Drosophila melanogaster: one gene and its partner. The protein of the gene in region 1 purifies or fractionates together with the protein of each later gene. This does not show direct contact. Each region holds a gene or a part of one and is shown in the gene's direction. Other genes may lie near its edges.

Region 1 (3,757 bases):
CACACGCAGGACAAGACATCCTGCCCGCCGAGAAAAGCTTTTCCAAGCGGTCGGAAAGGGGTGAAAAGCTGGGCTGGCTGGCAGGTCCGTATGCTAGCGGTAAATTGCAGGGCAACAAAGTTGTAAACAAATCGTTAAAGTGCTGGAAATAACTGGGTTGGTGGTCTGCTGTCAGGCGGAATACATAAACCCTGACAGTTTTGGCCTAAGGAGTGAGTCCTTTTGAGCTTTGTCGAGCTTTTCGCGTGTGAATAACAATATGAGTGTTTGGATAATGACATATCAAATGACCGTTGGAGGGAAACGTAAGAGCTTAAGTAATCATTTCTTATTTTTTATTAACAATATTGTTTAAATATTTTGTTTGCTCGGAAGTCATTTAGTCAAGAGTAAATTGTGCATTCTAACGAAACTGAAACAGGTATATTTATCTATTTATATTTAAATATGCATAAATGCTTATTTTATTTCTGAAGTAAATTAAAAAAAATAGCTGTTCAAATCTATACCGGAAGTAGCATGCGCCACCTAGCGAGTAGCCCACGAAGCTTGTTCAAATGTCCGAAAAGCTCGCCTAATAAATTTGAAATGTAAACAAATGTTGTTGGAAAGCTTGTTGGCAACTCGGGCGGCAGCAACAACTACACAAAAGCAGCGATGTTAGCGGCAGAGAAATTGCAAAGCTTTGTGAGCAACAACAACATGATTTTTGTTTGCTCGCTTTGTTGTTGGTTCTGAGAGCGACAGCTGTTGTAGTGTCCGTGAGAGCGCAGTTTATGTTTGTGTGCGGTGCTGAGTAAGCAACTGTTGTTGTTTCAATGTTCCCTGAGAGTTAGAGCAAAGAAGAAGAAGAAGCGCACAATGGAATTATGATCACTGGAAATTCGCAGGTAAGTTTTCAGGTAAACTATTTGGGTTCCTGTGTTTTATTTTTTTTGTCAGAGTTACAGCGTAAAAAATGTGTATTTTCTATTTGCGACTGTCACCTGTTCACTAACATATTTTGGGGAAAACCAATTATACATGTTAATGGACGTGGAAATAAATAGAAACATTACCATTAGACAGTAATAATAAGCCTGAAGTTATATTCAACATAACAATCAACATACATATGTAAAAATTGTATTGCCCAACAAAAAGATCTTGAACATGATATATCTTTTGAAAATCCATTTGAATCAATCGATTTCGATCAGGATTACCTAGTAGTCCGCTGATCCTTTGAGAGATCCTTTCGGGGTGGGTGACTAGCCTCTAACGACAGGCAACACTCTTGATGCAGTGCAACTATTTTTGTTGGCCTGTGTCCCTTTCCTACCCTCCACAACCGACAACCAACTCATTGTATCTGTATCTTTGCATTTCGTACCGCGCAGTTGCCGTTTCTCCGACTCGAAAACACTCGTCATTCGTGTGCGTGTGCATTGTTTGTCTTATTTGTTGTTCGTTGCCAGCAACAACAATAAAAAGTTCCCTGCTGTTGAGCAGCCAGCTGTGTGTGTTTGTATTGGCGCATTGGTGTGTGTCCGTGTTAGTATCTGTGTGTGTGCGGCGGAGAGTGTGCGTTGTTCTCTGTTTGCTCGCCGTCCACTCGTGTCATGTTGTTGCTGTTGCTTCAGTGTTCTACGTAGCCGATAGATACTGGTTGATACACTGAGGGAATACGTGTTTAATTGGTACTTGTTTGAACCTCATAACTATTAAATTAATACCGCTTACATGGATCATTAATAAAGTCTGCAAATAATTTTATATTTTTCCCTTTAATTAAGTTTGGGGCTAATAATACATTACCAATTTAAAACATCTTTATATTACATTTCACAATTGCCAAGTGACAACTCTATTTCTCTCAGTGCACCGCTCGCTCTCGCAGGGCAGCAGTCGCATTTGTGGCTGTGTCTGTGTGTTTTTCTCTGTGTGCTTAGTCGCCTTGGTCGCTTGGTACGCGAAACATACGACATTGCCAACAATCCAACAGTCCGCCGCCGATTCCCGAGCGCCGTGCACCGTCGACTCGACCGCGAGTTTTCGAATTCAACATTTTTGAACGTTACGTCAGTCGTCGGTCGCTGCAGCAGCAGCAGCAACAAAAATATTTTTGGCGCCGTTTTATTTGTGTGCCGTGCATCGTGTCGTTTTGAAATCGCTGCGAGCAAGGAGTTGTTGCGTTTTGAAATCGCCTCTGCAACAGGAGTTTTTCTGTAATCCAACGACGAATACCAACCAAAAGGTAATGAATTCTTTGCTTGGAACAACATCACAAGTTAGGAACAACAGCAACAATAACAGCCTGATAAGCAGCAGAAAGAAAAATTCTATATGCCATATTGTTTCCTTGTGTGCGATTGCCTGTGAATGTGTGTGTGTATTGTGTGTATTGTTGTTGTTGTTGTTGTCTATCTAACAAAGTTATTGCGATTGTTGTTGTTGCTGTCATTGGGCCACGGAATATACAATATACTGTATGTATTTTTGTTGGTGGAGGGAAACAAAGAGCGGGCCGGGTATTTCTGCAAGTTTTCTGTGTTTTGTTAGCTTTAGAAATAAATTCTTTTTTTTTGTTGTTGTTTTTGTTTTCCGTTGGGTTTTGTGTTTGGCTGTTGCTGATTCTGTGTTTTTCGATTTGTACGTTGCTGTACTTTTTGCTGAGCCCCGTTGTTAATAGATAAACATGAACATTTCTCAAGGAATTAGTACGCGCTCATGCTGATATGTTTATGTTAAATAGACGTAATACAATAAATATTGCCATATAGCCCAGGTTAGTTGTTTTTCTGCCCCTTCCAGTCGCCATTCCCATTCCATTCCATTTTCCCCCCGCCCACACCGCACACAGCAATCCAACAATAACATTAACAAAAACAACAACGGGCAGAGCCAAAACACGCGAGCAACGTTCGCCTTGATAATGATGTTCGCTGATAATAATGATGACTGGCCAAAGAACACAACAATGCTGCCAGCGCACAGTGGGACCAAAGTGTTACGAAAATGGAAAGCAATATTAATTTTTTGTTTGGTTCAGCTTAGAGTGCTAGAGTTTTCTCTTGCTACTTTTTTATGTCCGAAAAAATAGAAAACTTATTGGACTCTGAACCTGATATTAAGATTAATAGTTGAAGGGAATTATTACCTACGATTTTCCAGAGATTTACTTACAGATGTCCAAAAAATATATATATACATATAAAATACCATCTAATAGGTTTCCAAGCAATGTGGAAATTGTTATTATATTTTTCCTTGATATACTTTTGGTAATGCCCTTTTTCGATTACTTCCATCCCACTGTGCGCACGTTTTTCGCTTTGCAAAACTGGTGGGCCCAAAAGGTGCTGAAAGTGGCGGGAAAACTGTCGGAGATTTAAGAGCGGCCCAAGTGTCGCCGCGATAGAAAGGGGCTGACGGCAAAAGGGTAGGCAGTCGAGTGAATGGACAGGTGGAGTGGGCTGATTAGAATCGAAACAGGTAGTCGCAGGTGCGAGAGCGAATCGTTTGCAAGTAGTGAGCAGTGAGTGCGGTGGGTACTCGCACACATATTCGTGACTATTCAGCGGATTTGGTTTTGGCCAACATGTTTTCGGATATTGCAACACAACATTGCTTGCTGCACTGAATTGCTGCTGCTGCAGCAGAGTGTTGCTGTTGTTGCTGAAGCATTCTGTTGTTGTTGTTACTGTTGTTTTGTTGCTGCTGCTTTAGTTGTGCTGTTGTTGCTGTTATCAGTGAAGCAGACAAAAGCTTTCAGCTT
Region 2 (3,486 bases), 640 kb from region 1:
GCTTTTGTGTACGCCCTGTAGCAGGTTCCATCCGCATCGCGACCTGCTCGTCCAGCTCTCTGCCAGGCTTGCGCCTTAGATATTCGAACTGACTTTAAGACATCCAGTCCGTCGACGGTATTGAACGATTTCTCCTTCACAAAGCCACAGTCAATCACACAACGGATGCCCGGTATGGTGATCGACGTTTCTGCTATATTTGTGGCCAAGATTACTTTGCGTACGTTGGCCGGTGTCGGCACAAAACACTCCAATTGCTTGCCCTGCGATAGCTGAGCATACAACGTGAATACGCGGAGATCTGTTGTTCCAGTCGTGTCAATCTGAAATAGCGAGCAACTTATTTTTAATGATGTGCAATCTGTGGGCTGTACGACGATGGACTCACCTTGGCAAGCTGGCGTATTTGTTGGGCCAATGACTCGATTTCCTCTTGCCCGGTTAGGAATATCAACACGTCGTGGCTGTAATAAATGTACACATATATATAAATCAGTAAGTGTAAATATATATATCATCAGACCTACTTTTTCGGAGTGGTGCGGTGTATGTGAAAGAGGGTAACCAGCACGGTGTGGATGTAATCTTCGTGCTCCTCCTTGGTGTGCATCACACGGACCGGATACGTCCGTCCCTCCAGGTACATGCCCTTGCAATTAAAGTAATTTCCGAAGTGATCGATATCCATCGTGGCAGATGTAACCACTACCTTTAGGTTGGCCAACTTTTGCTTACGCCTCTCCTTTTGAGCATCTTTGACTATCCCGAATAGTAGGTCTGCGTTCACGGTTCGCTCGTGAGCCTCGTCCAGAATAATCACAGAATATTTGAGCAGTAGTCGATCCTTAATGGACTCGCGCAGCAAAACGCCGTCGGTAAGGAATCGAATCTTTGTGGCCCTTGAGGTGACATCCTCGAAACGCACCGTATAGCCCACCGTGTCGCCAATGGTTCCGTTCAACTCCTGGGCCACGCGACGTGCCACTGTTATGGCCGCCACTCTGCGCGGCTGGGTGATTCCGATCATTCCGTTCTTGGCGTAACCAGCCAGCAGCAGGAACTGTGGTATCTGTGTGGTCTTGCCCGAGCCCGTCTCGCTCATGATTAGCACGGTGTCGTTCGCTTCCAGTTCCTTGAGGATTCGATGGCGGCAATTAAAGACAGGCAGTGATTTTTGCTGCTGTTCAATGGAGGTTCTTTTGCTGGTCAGCAGAATGGGAGCTATTGTCTGCTTGATTTGGGCCACATGGGGTTTCTTCTCCAGTATGGGACTGTTCGCCATGGCATCGTACTTCCGCTTGAAGGAGAACTTCACAGGCGATGGACCTACAGCATCGTTTCTGCTGGTTGCAAAGTATTTGGAGTCCATTATTTACACTTTCGCAGCACGTTTCTTTGGAAGAAAAGTCAACAAGCACATTCAAGTTAAGGTTTTGTCTTCGATTAATACACTAAAACATTGATATATTTTTTTTAGATAAAATTATTGTTTAGTCGTTAGTGCCTACCAGTGCCACTTATTTTCCTAAGAGTTTTAGTTCCCCAGCCCGGAGAATTTTTTATAAAAGTTTCAGACGAAAGAAGAAAAGCAACAGGCGTGCGAAATACAGCAGGGTTGCCAGCGTCAGCGAAAATGGTATGTGTAAGTATATACTAAAATCCCCTTTTTAGTTTATAAAATATTTTAAAACAAATAGAAAATTTAATTCACATGATTAACTTCTATGTTATCCTACACAATTCATTTGTTTTTTTTTTTGTTTATTTGGGAAATTTTGTACTTCTCTGCATCGTTTACAAATGCAAAATATGCATAGTAAGGACTAACAATTCAAAAAATATTTATTTGAAATCGAGCCACTTTTAAACATTTCGTCCGAATCTCGAATATCAAACAATTAACCAGTGCCTTTATTTTGTTCTCTAAAATAAGGACAAAATATTCTATGGAAATTGCACTTAAAAGTTATTCTTACTCTCAACTTAATTTAAATAATTTAACATACGTTAATTCATAATACATAATTTTTGGTTTTCAAATTTTTCTTTTAGCTTTTCAGCGGCGAATTTCGTTTATGTTCTATCGTTTCGCATATTTTAAAGTTCTCTTGATCCGGTCACACTATTTTCGTAGAACAACAAACTTGAGATTGAAAAACATTTGTTTTTAGAAATATTGTCAAGACCATGAAGTCCGAGAAACTGAAACGAAACTTTTGGGTCTCCGCCGAAATAGAGTGCATGCTCGACCTGATTAAGGAGGTGAACAACTGCCAGGGAGCCCTGTCCACCAGCACCACCCAGTACACCTTCATCCAAATCGCCAATCAGATGAAAAAAAGGGGTTTTCCAAACAAGTCGCCCACCCAAATACGCAGAAAATGGTTTCAAATGAAGAGCGCCTATCTGTGTTACAAAAAGGGAAATGTTGATCGACTATTTCTGATACCCGAGAAATTCCGCAACGCCATCGCTGAGTTCGTAGAAAGTGGCGAGAAAATCGGACGTTCCAATCTATCCACCATTTCAAGTGGAACCCCAGCTATCGTGCAGCAAAATCAGGAAGGTTTGTATAATATATCATATATTGTTAATATAATATAATATAATATGTATTTTGCAGTACACTCAGAGGAAGACACTTCGCCCATGGATATATTCCTGAATCAGATCCGTAAAAACAATAAAATGATTAATTCGGAGTTCTTTAGGATGGAAGAATCGTTACAGCAATTCGAACAGAAATGCCAGTTTATTAGAGACAAAAACATAGCCAAGCTCATCGATGGTTATTAGCCAAATAAATATACAAATTCCAGATATATAGTAAATAAGTTTTAATAAAATGTAAGCAAAACTGATATATTTTTTGTTTATTTCGTATATAATGCATTGTTGTAAAGGTAGAAACACAATAAATGAGCACTTTATCACATATACAACTTCAACCCTCGCATCTCAAGTACTAAAAGCACTTTACTCTCATAAAAAGAAACTGGTTTTTATGTTGTTTTGTGTATATATATACATTTGCATACGTATTTATGTGCCTTAGTTCTTAATGTCTCCATTTGCCACCGCCACATAATATTTACTTTTCGAGTTCCATCTAAGTGGCTAAAATGGCATTGATGCGTCTTAAACTGAAGTTCACACTAAATATTGGTTTAATAACCGATCGGAGTTAAATAAATTTTTTAATTTAGTTTAATTAAATACTGAAGGATTTAAGCTGCAGCTCACATAAGCTACCATTGGCTACCAAAAAACCGGCTCCAATGCGAAAAACGCTATTACTTAATTGCGCTGCAAATATACAAATAGAAATCATTGGTATGTACCACACATTTCTGTGCACAAACTAGTTTATTTTTTTCTTTTAAGTGTACGTACGTATGAAATTCACAACAAGTCAAATTTGCCAGATAGTGTGTAAATGTACATTAATTTAAATGATCCAAACTTCATAATTAACTGTTTAAGTGT

Evidence for each region.
Region 2: the proteins of brwl (region 1) and CG5727 purify together in Drosophila melanogaster (affinity purification with mass spectrometry, with the first as the bait; one large-scale study listed by BioGRID). This does not show direct contact.

What each region holds. Positions count from the first base shown.
Region 1 is NT_033779.5:9,566,963-9,570,719, forward strand, and holds the start of brwl (brickwall), read left to right. Parts: upstream 1-1,927; 5' UTR 1,928-2,236; intron 2,237-3,308; exon of another isoform or gene 3,309-3,757.
Region 2 is NT_033779.5:10,209,305-10,212,790, reverse strand, and holds CG5727 (uncharacterized protein), read left to right. Parts: upstream 1-2,109; 5' UTR 2,110-2,187; coding exon 2,188-2,566; intron 2,567-2,623; coding exon 2,624-2,796; 3' UTR 2,797-2,938; downstream 2,939-3,486. Other genes in the region: ath (athos), read right to left, coding at 1-323, 389-464, 528-1,369.